Linked DNA regions of Drosophila melanogaster. The protein of the gene in region 1 interacts with the protein of each later gene in a pairwise test. Each region holds a gene or a part of one and is shown on either strand. Other genes may lie near its edges. The genes, in order: CG8306 and CG13299.

The links.
Region 2: the proteins of CG8306 (region 1) and CG13299 interact in a two-hybrid assay, tested with the Drosophila melanogaster proteins (one large-scale study listed by BioGRID).

What each region holds. Positions count from the first base shown.
Region 1 is NT_033778.4:16,589,013-16,596,885, forward strand, and holds CG8306 (uncharacterized protein), read right to left. Parts: upstream 5,635-7,873; 5' UTR 5,079-5,634; coding exon 5,071-5,078; intron 2,399-5,070; coding exon 1,814-2,398; intron 1,751-1,813; coding exon 1,641-1,750; intron 1,577-1,640; coding exon 1,126-1,576; intron 1,063-1,125; coding exon 805-1,062; intron 749-804; coding exon 610-748; 3' UTR 506-609; downstream 1-505. Other genes in the region: Dolk (dolichol kinase), read right to left, coding at 1-36; CG8303 (uncharacterized protein), read right to left, coding at 6,408-6,540, 6,611-6,868, 6,929-7,370, 7,424-7,873. UniProt on the Drosophila melanogaster protein: Catalyzes the reduction of C16 or C18 fatty acyl-CoA to fatty alcohols.
Region 2 is NT_037436.4:6,231,073-6,234,388, reverse strand, and holds CG13299 (uncharacterized protein), read left to right. Parts: upstream 1-2,027; 5' UTR 2,028-2,064; coding exon 2,065-2,125; intron 2,126-2,188; coding exon 2,189-2,466; 3' UTR 2,467-2,584; downstream 2,585-3,316. Other genes in the region: CG42714 (uncharacterized protein), read left to right, coding at 351-384, 445-612, 668-771; BG642312, read left to right, coding at 1,468-1,552, 1,617-1,765.

The DNA.
Region 1 (7,873 bases):
TTCCGAGTGCTCACTGTCCGTTTCTGGGCTCCGCATCCTCGGTTGGTTCTCAGTACATGATTTCTTTGAGCTCGGCAAGCGTTTGTGTGTCCGCAAATGGGTCAAGTGCGGAGAAAAGCCCTCGCTTTTCCTGCACACTTCGGCCAATTGATGAAGTTTTGCATGCACTGGACCAGCTGGTCGTTTGCTGTTGTTGTTTTTGTTGGGAAACTGTTGATTGGGGTTTGGGATGCACTTGGGTATTCGATGGCGTCCACTGGTGAGGTCACACTAAATTCGATGTGACCAGGTCTTATGCACCTCGGTGGGAAGTTTAAAAACTTAAAAGCTTGAAAATTTTACACTTTTTAAACCGCTCAAAAAGCCTGATATTACCTCTGAATCTTTATAATGTGGCTTAAAGTAAAAGTAGATCTAATTTTATACCAGATTTTAACTATCAATAGAATCCTCTTTAGGGCTTTCCTTTAATAAACTTTTCCTTTTAAATCAAAAAAGAGCGGCGCTTGTTTTTGTATTTATATTGTAAAACCAAACCTCATACAAAGTGCATTAAGCATAAATAACATTGAGAAAATGTTGAACTATGTGGGAATATTCATCGACTTCTTAAAGCAGTCCAAAAAGGTAGTAAAGGACGGGCAGGACAAGAGCTGCTTTAGCCGTCGAGATTCCGGTGAGGCACACGATCAACTTGAAGACTCCATACCAAAACGAGAGCTGCAGCGCCACATGAAGACCCAGGAGACTAGAAAAGTTAAGGGTTAGTATGGTAACTTACATAGTATTATTGAAGATATTTACATTTTGTCCTTGCGACGCGCCTTCTCCAGATTCTTGATGGGCTCCTTGCTGAGATACTGACGCACGCCGAGGATCGTATTGGAAAAGTACTCATCCCACGCCAGCTCCCCGATGTCGATGAAGAACTTCTTCTTGTCCACTATGTTCAAGGTCTTCGATAGCGCCAATAGACGCTTGCTGTCAAAGTGCCACTCGGTGAAGATGAACTTTTCCAGGGTATTCAGTGAGTTCCAAACGTTCTTGTGCAGACGAACCAAGCTAAAAGTTAAATGAAATCATGTAGGCTACTAGGAAATAGGTGTACCAATATTATATGCTTACATAGGCCTGCCGCCTCCAATTTTCGTGACCAGATCCAGGATAATAGCGGGTATGAAATGAAACAGAATGGCGCTCAGTCGGAAGACCCAGAGGCTCTTCACCAGACGCAGGTTGGGATACCAGACGGCACTGTTCAGAGGATAGTCGTGCAGATAGCTGTTGATCTTGTCCGTCATCAGCTCAAAGCGGAAGGGTTTGTATGTGCTGGAGGTCAGGTGGAAGATCTGCAGATCGGCCGGGCGTCCTCCGTTCTTCGCCTGCAGCGAGTTGACATAATAGCCAGTGGTTATGATGCCATTGACCACCACATCGATGGGTATGTAGTCCATAATGATGCTGGGATCCAGGGGAAGGCGACGCAGTACGCCCTTCGATGCGCCCATGAAGAAGCCCTGCGGACCGTTCTTCGAAATGGTCCATCCGGGAATGGGTTCCTTCCAAGCGGCGGTGACTTTAGCACATTACAAAGAATCATTAGTTTCTGGAAGAAAATTAATATTCTACCTAATACTCACTCATACTCGGACGAACAATGCCGCAGGGGAACTTGCTGGCCACATTGGCCACCTCGTGCTCCGCCAGATGCTTTGTAAAGGTATAGGTATTGGGGTGATCCTTCAGAAGTCTGGGAGATGATAATTCATTATTTCTAAGCATAAACCCTTTAGTTTAGTTAAGAGCCACTCACTTTGGTTCCAGTTCCTTGAGGGCATCATCGTTGAGCGTCTCCGAGAGCTGGATGATCTTCTCTGGATCTTCGGGCGCGGGATATAGCTTCTCCTCGACCTTGGTCAGATAGGCATTCACATAGGCGCTGGACACATGGACCAAAGCATCCAGGTTCTTGATCTGCTGGCACAGCTCCACAACTCGCCGAGTGCCCCTCAAGTTGATGTTGGTGGTCTCCTTCAGAGATTGAAAGAAGTCCAAAGTGGCAGCCGAGTGAAAGACAACATTCACGTTGTCGATCAGGGTCTGGCGATCCTTCGGCGAGATGCCCAGATGCTCCAAGCCGACATCGCCTTCGATGGGCACGATCTTGGAGAGACGCGACTGCAGCTGCAGTTCCTTGAACTTGTCGAAAACGGAGTTCTTCTTCAGCTCCTCCAGTCGCTCCTGCACACTCTTGCCCTTCTTGGCGCGCATCAGCAGGTACAGTGTGCCCACGTTGGGAACATCGCGCAATAGTTTCTCCACAATGGTGACGCCCACGAAGCCAGTGGCGCCCGTGATGAAGACATTGCGACCCGCATAGAAGTCTGTGATGGGTGAGCTGAAATATGAAGGGTTTACCAATCAGTTCAGTGCCGTCTATTCTGTTTATATAACGAATACGACCAAATTTACAGACGTCATAAAAAAGATGAACCAAACTTTCTCTCGTCGCCCATTCAAATGGTCCAATGGAGACGCCATTGTGCTTACGACACTCGTTCACCCGTAAAAACCTTCAGGGTAGCGCATCTTGGCTGTTTGTCCCGCTAAAAACCCGTTTTTATCGTGGGCTCCCAGTTCTGAGTGCCCATTGTATTTCTTCTAATATTGATACAACTAATGATTACTTAGCAGGTGTCGACTGGCGGGCGGTTCAATGCCGGAATGCAAAGCAATCTCGTGGGTGTCTCTGGTTTCTTTGTACTTTGATTGGAATCAAGTCGTGCGCTTAAACGCATAAATCAAATGGTTTGATCTCTAAAGATTTTCTTTAGTTTCTATCAATAAATAGGATTTTAGCCCACTCTTTTGGATTCATTATTCATCCAAGTCAATTCTTAAAGATATCATGCTTTTAACAGTAAATGTACTTTGTTTTTTGCTGCAAATCAGTTAAGATAAGCTCTTTAGCTTTGGGGAATTCCCATTTCCACTTTGCAATCGCCTAATTTTCGAACAATTTCGATCAAATTACAAAACGTATTGGGGCTCCAGCAAACACGCAACATGTTCATTCAATTAGCCATGTCTGGCGCATTTCTCTTTTAATGACCTCCACTCGCTGTCTCCGCTATATTTTTTCTTTATGCCAAATGATTTTATAATGACGAACATTGAAGATGAATTCTTTGGTTTTTACTCCCCTCTAACGATGCGTGATATAATTTCTGCATAACAAATGTGTTGCATTTACATTTCCCATATTTGAATATGCAAACAAAAACAAAAAAAAACAAAAAATCAGACGAAATGCAAATTTTCTTTTGAGCAATTAAAGGAAACCCTCGAGATTGCAGAGCCGTCACAAGTAAATAAAGTGCAGTTGAAGCCTTTGCAGGTGCTCATATTTGCACACACGAAATGGCAAGTCATCGTTTTAGCCAGGCTCACAGTTCAAACGCTCGCTTGTTAGCCAAGTTAAGCTTTCACTTTGTGGACCAGCGAATTTGGGGTGAAAAGGGACAGGTGACCCAATCAACACAAATGGCTAATAACTCATCAAGCGTTTTTCCTGAAGTTTCTTATTCACTCCCTTTCTTGGCCAACTCTTTGAAATTAACTTTCTTATCAGCTTTAAATCAACTTCTGAGATTAGATTTTTCTGTTGGCCAGTTCGGTGCTTATCTGGCTTAATTAAGTGAGCCGATTTATGGTGGCAGTGCTACTTGAAATTTGTTTCAAATTATGGTTTTGCTTTGCCTTGGAACTGATACTACTGTATGAATTGTGCACAGTATTTAATGGAACTTGGCTACAAGTGAGGAAATAAGCAATAAAGTGGTGTTATTTGAAAAATCAAGCTTAGTGCCTTAATAATGCCTTGCATAATGCGATATCATTTGCCACAGTTTACCGCATTCCGTTGAGACTGGCGTTAAGAACCCCCATATCATTAGCATTGCACATAAACTTAAATGCTTGCCCACCCCGGCAATTAAGCCACTCGACTTTGAGTAAGTAAGTAACTGACCCTACCAACTGCAATCAACCTTGTGAGCGGCCATAAATCTCTGGCATATTATTATTAATATTCGTCCCGAAAATGTTTCGAACAACCTGTCGTCAGGATGCGATGGCCATAATATGTAATGATCTTGTTGTCCCGCGGTTCCTTTTGATTTCAATAATCTGTAATTTTCCGGTTGATTTCCGGCATGCCCACCACTGCATCATTGACGTCATTTGGCTGAAAAGGCGGCTTTTGACTTGCAAAAGAGTGTATTCGAACAGGTCAAAGATTTAGCTTGAAAACTGGAATGTCTAGCCCTGTTTGCATCTCCCTCTCCAATTGGCTAGCACTGCATAGCCACCTTTAGCGGGTTAATGAAAAATTTCCATTGTTCTCCCATTGCAGGTGACTCTCAGGTGATGGATTCTCGCTGGCGAAAGTGTCCGACCAAATGACCCACTGTCAGCTCGTAATGAAGTAGAATTAGCCGCCGACGCAAGTGTTAATTATAGTACAGTGTGACCCCAATAGCACGAACTATTATGTTATGCATTAAACTTTTGAATTGAGTTCCAAAAGCAAAGGCTATGTAAGATTATAGATCACTAATTCCACTTAAAGTGAATGCGCTTTTATTGGTCATCTAGTTTTAGAGTAGTTTAAAGTTCAAGTTTTGGAAAGTTGGAATAGATATGTTGATCCACTGGACTTCTGGCTTATATGAATGATAAAGTCTACATATGTGAAAATAGTTAACAACACACACATATACCTAATTTATGGTAAGTAAGTGTTTTGAATCAAGATTCCCCATCACATGGAAAGTCTAGATGATTCGGGTATCTTTAGCTCGATGGCTTGTGTTCTCTACGCCAGATTTTTGTCGCATTTCGAACTTTGCTCCGTCTTTCTAACCTCACAAAAGGCGCTCGAAAGCGGGGAAAAGAAATAAAAAAAAAATAAAAAAAGCAGGTTGAAAGTTGTCAAACATGCTACCAAAATTAAATACAACCAAAATTGAGCAGAAGCCGTTGCTTAGAGCCAAATGTAGTGGGACTTACCTGGCCATGGTTTCTCAGCAGGTGTGGTTAACGTCAATAATAATAATGCCAATTGCAGTCTATCCGCTCGTTCTGATTATTTGTTTAAGACTAAAACTCGGCTTAGAACGTCGAAATTTCTCTTTTCCACGTAGCTCTCTTTCTTTTTATCGGCCTCCTCCTCTTCTTATTTATTCCGTCTTTCTATCTTTTACTCCACTGCTTTTGTTGTTGTTGCGATGCGACTGTAAACAAATTACCAACACCAGTGCAACTGCACGTGTGTGTGCCACAACGAACGTGCGTGTGTGTGTGTGTGTGTGTCGGCGTGTGCGAGTGCGAGCGAGGCAGCTGAATGGGCGAGTTTATCTTTATCTGCGTTTCTCCGATCCTCCGATTTTCGAACGTTAGCCGGCAACAGTAAAACTTCAACTGAATCTTTATGCCGTCAATGGCCAACGAAATGTGCTCGGCAGCAAGCGAACTGTTCGTGTATGATCATTAACTACGCTCCGCGGATCGTCATAATAACGATCACGATCGTCGGCCAAACCAGTTAGTCAGTGGCGTCTCAAAGGGGAGTGCCTATTTGGTTTGGTCCCCCACATATGTTTACTTTCTGATCTCATCACATACAATATGGTTAGCTCACTGAGTTTGCGGATACATTTTTCGCTATCTTGCAGATACTTTTTTTGTTATTTTAGCTGCATATGTATGTTTTCTCTTCTCGAGCATAAGAGAATTCTCTTCAGCTAGCGCCCCTGTCGGAATATTACCGAACTTACTTAGTGTACACCGTGTAGAAAGAGTGTAGCTAGGTGTCGCCACTGTGCATTGTCGAAAACGAAATGCATCGATTTTTAAGATGGACTTAAAAAATTATAAAACAATATTATTATAAGTTATACCAACCTCCATATAATAAAATATTACACACACCTAATAAAAACACACACATCCTTTCCTTAATATAAAAATCATATTTATTTGAATAATAGTTACATATTTAATCATTTAAAGTTTAGTTCTCGTATTCATCGACTATTTGACTATAAACCGGTTGATAATTACAAACAATCTAAAATTGTTTATTACTTTTACATTACGTGTTTAGTTAAAGTGACTAAGTTTTGGGCTACTTTTGCATTGCTGTGTGAATAGATTCGATATTAGTGCTGATTCATATGATACATTTCGCTGACTTGTACTTGGCTTGTGTGAAAGAACTTAAAAGTAAAATACATGATACCCTACTAGAACAAACTACGGATGGAAACGAACAACCATGTGTGGTAGCATCGCACTTGGAGCGGAAATATTGCACAATCCAACTGTTGGCGATTCGGATGCAGCCACTACAACCAGACGAGAAATCCCCAGATCAGAACCGCCAACGTAAGTCCGATCTGCAGGCCCAAAGTTAAAGTAAGGGCAAAGTAGAGAACGGCGAAGATGACCACATAGCCCGCGTAGTACAGGACGTTAAAGCTATAGACAGGACAGAAATGAAATGAAAATTGAAATTATGCTTTAGATCGGTGGAATGGATCACACTTACACCTTCCAGTAGTTGCGATGCCAATCCGTGGTCACTGCCGACTCCTTGAAGTAGAAACGCCGGATTCCTATCAGACACCGATCGATGAACTCCGACCAATCGCACTGACTGGCATCGAAATTATAGCGCCTTCGATCGCTCTCCGGTATTAATGCCGATATACGCAGCGCATTCTTCAAGGAATACCGGAAGTCCTTGTCCAGGAAGTAATCAAAGGCCTTGGTACCTTTCTGGAACACCCGCATGTACTCGTAGGCTCTAAAGTAGATAAATATTATGGTTAAAAGTTAAGTAGATCCAGCTTTTTGCAGTACTTACGTGTGCTGGGGCATTCCGATTCCGAATAGCTTCTCTGGTATGATAAAGACCATAGCTGGCAGCAAATGAAACAGATAGAAGAACAGATTGTAACGCCATCCGTTGCGCAATTTCGTCACCGGTTTCCAAACAAAACTGTTCGGCGGATGCCGCTCCACACTATCGTTGATGATCGTGCAGAACTCGGCGAGATTCAGAGGATTAACCTCTCCCGACGTGCAATGTATGATCTCCGGCTGCTCCAACTTCCGGGTGCCCACGTACCAGCCCATAACCAGTGATGAGTTGATCACATAGTCGCATGGTATGATGTCGATCACAGCATTTGCATTCCCGCACATGGTGCGAAAAATTCCCTTCACGAAGCCGGCCAAGAAGCCCAGGTGACCAGAGTTTGCATTGCCCACCCAGCCCTTCATCGGGTGCTCCAGGGTTCCATAAACTAAAAATGAAATGTTATTGATTAAGACATTTTACTGCCGAATGGAATCTCACCAATCGATGGCCTAACTATGGCTGCTGGCAGTCCCGACATCTCGGCCATCAGCAAATTCTCCGACAGATTCTTGGTGAACGTATACGTATTGGGATGATCACGGATATAGCCCTTGCACTTTTGATCGGTGAAATCCTCCCAGGCGGAGTCATCTTCGGCCATCTTCATCATCTCGTACGGATCGAACTGTGACTTGTACACCTCCTCGGCAATCAGACCACGATTGTTGCTATTGCAGAAGGCCGTGGAGCAATAGATGTACGCCGCCAGTTGCTTCAATTGTTTGGCCAGCTCAATGGTGCGCATCGTTCCCGTGAGATTGGTGCGAATGGCGGTGCGCAGCGGGGAGCTGAACTTGATGGTGGCTGCACTGTGGTAGATCACATTGACCCGATCGATCAGCTCCTGCAGGAGCTCGGGGCCAAAGCCAAAGTTTGGTTCGCTCAGTT
Region 2 (3,316 bases), on another chromosome or scaffold:
GACAAAAACCAATCTAATTTGGCCATAAGCAAAATAGTTGTTAAATAAATGAACATATAGATAAAGAATTATCTTAAACTTTTTCACTTTAGCAGGATGGCAAAACAAAAGTTTGAGGTGTGGGATCAATCTATATCACAAATTATTGTGACATGTATCGGTACCTTAATTCAATTTACGGTGCTTGTGTTTTATCTTATCTTTTAATATGGCAAAATTCGTTCATCGTTGTTTAAATTTGTGATAAGATAGGATAGTAAGCCTAACCGTTTATTTTTATTCACGCCGATCTTAATTAGTTGCCGCATTGCTATTTTTCATTTCATAGCGAAAGGTATTAGTTTTCCAGAATGAACGCAGTTGGCATTTTCATAATATGTCTGGGTGAGATTTTTTAAGTTATAGTAAGTAGTGACTTTGTAAAGATGTCCTTTCTAAAAACAGCATGTTCCCTTGGAGCGAATATTCCTCCAAAACCGTGCCAAGTGGAAACAAATTGTGGTACGGTGAATGAGACAAGTTCCATTTGCGGATTGGATGAGGAAATGGGTTGTATACGAAAATTTCCATCCAAGTGTCATTTGGATATAGCATTTTGCCATGAAGGAAAAAGTAAGTCCGATTATTAAACTTTAATCTCGCATATTATTAAATTATTTCATTTCAGATTTCACCGACTTTAATGAGGAATATTGCTCAATGGAATCGTATCTCTGTGAGATTTCACCCACATACGAACGCTGGACCATTTTCTTCGGGCATGAGAATTAATTCTAATTGAAAGTGCGAAAATTTGCTGCATTACGCTTATATAACAGAATTTATCTGTTTTCAAATTAAATTTTTTTCTCATTTCTAGAGTATTTTTACATAATATGAAATTAGTCCCGCATGATTGAAATGTTTTGGTTTAATTTCAACAACCAGAAAAGGGGAAAGAAAACAGCGTATAAATAAGAGAATTTGTGGGTATAAATATCAGTATACATTCTTCAAGACAGAGGAAGCCCTCTCTACGAACTCAGGACGCTCTTCTTTGGCCACCAGAAAGAGTGAGTGAAGACTTGGCTAATCGCCGACGACATACGTGTAAGTTCATTAGGTAGCATTTCAATAAACAATCAATCAACGCGCAACGGGCCATTCACGTGCCAGGCGACGTTGACTACGTCAAAGACCGGTAGGAGGTAACCGATGCCCAGCAGCGTTTTTTCCCACTCAGTGAGACAGAACGACGCCTCGAGCCTTTTATACGAATCTTAATTCGGATTTTTTGTGATCTTTTTTTATATTTGAGTTTTTTTTCTTTGCGTTATTTTTGGGTCTTCGACGGGTGCTTTGCATAATCTCTCGCCGCGGCGCCAATGCCCATTGGCCTCCTCCTTCAACGCCAATCAGTGAAGAGCTCCAGACTGGCACACTTGCACATATAAAAAGTGGACCCAACCGAATTTTGCTTGTCAGTTAATGCCCATCAATCGAATCAATCCCAGCACAGCCATGAGAAGCGCGTCGCTTAAGTTCTATCTGATATGTCTGCTAGTTATCTGCGGTTAGTGTTATTAACTAAAAATGTTATGCATCAAATGCAATTACCTGTGTCCGAATTTTTGCAGTGATCGGTTGGAGTGCTGGAGCACCGAGTCCGCAACTTTCACGTAAGGAACTCGAGGATCGATATCGACAAAAGCCCCCGGTGCCTGATGAGCGAGATGCGGATGCAGAATTGGATAGTGCCTACGATCGGAATACCCGAAGACCTTGAAGTGCAAATCTGAAAGGCTGGAGACACCCAACGCCCACAATTGATTTGTGGTTCTGTGTGGAGTGCCACTTTTTATGTCGTATTCAGGGTTATGGCTATGTAGTTCTAAGCTTAGGCAAAATGTACAAGCGTAAAATAAAGCAATTACTTGGGTGAAACGTGCGCATCGTTACTTTCCATTCTATCACGTAGAATGTGGGGCGACATCCGACGTCGGCTGGCGTCTATAAAATATGAACTCTCTGGCATTCGATTCAGTCAGTTATCAATCTCCGGCTAGTGCGAAAAGTACAATCAAAATGACCTCAGAAAGCAAGATGGTTTTGCTCTTCCTTATCGGATGTCTCGTCATGCAGACAAGTGAGTCACTGGATCATCTGGTATCATGACATTATTTTAAACCTAACTGCATTTTCTTTCAAGTCAACGCCCTGCCATTCGATAGATTCAGCCAGGAGGATGACGAACGGAACAACGAGATCAGCGGCGAATGGTTCAAGAAACCCATCCTCAGGTTCGATCGTCTTTTTGCCACCGAAGAATCACCGTCGGGAAGTCGGAAAGAAGTGAGAAGGCCCAGCAGAAGCGACAAGGGTGAAACCACGGAGAGCTCCAAGCACGCCCACTCCATGATCACCTCCATGCTCGGATTCGTGAGCAGTGTCATCAACTTTGGCAGGACCTTCATAAGGGATCAATAGAAAATATCCTAGTCCATCTGGCACATTTCGAGATTGCATTTTCCACATGTTGTAGGTTTAAATATTGTTGTTTAAATATTGCTTAAATATTGTTGTTCCAAAATAAAAGATTTGGCTTAAAACTATCAAGTATTGGATGTTAAAGAAAGCTTCTCTAAATCCTTTCCAATTTTCAACCAAAATTAAATTCAGCCTAGGTGTTACAATTAGAGGTTTAAAACAGAGTATTTTGAAGACCCATGGTTTAAATACTCACCCGCATATAAATTTCTCTTTAATCCATTCCGTTTTATAAAATTCATCTGTGTAAAGAAGCTAATTTTAATTCTTATTCATAAAATCAGAGCAAATTTACCAAGTAGCACTCAATAAGCTATAACACCGGCGGATTTTTCGGTTGCCCTTTAGGCTAACCATATAAAAACCCGACGGAGATTTTGGTGGATCCCACTATAAATTCTCTTTAATTCGCAGAAACAACCCAGAATTGCCTTTTTTAAAACTTAATCCTTTCCTTCTTTGCTTAATATTAAATTTACTCTTAACATAAATTACTTTTCCCAGCTGAAACTTTTGTTTTTCTTTAAATTTTTCCATGAAGCTTCTTATTTAATAAGATAAACACAAAATTACCATATTTTGTTGATAATTTAACTTAATAGTGGTGCACAATTAATCTTTTGATTACACTTAATATATTTATTTTACAGCCTTACACAGCTGGAAGATTTTCACAATTTTCGAATTTAAAGTATAATTCATTTAAAAAGTAAGCGTTCAAACAATTTTCACCGATATTCACGCGTTTACAACTCGTTTAAAAACTCTCTCTTATACAGATAAAATTAGG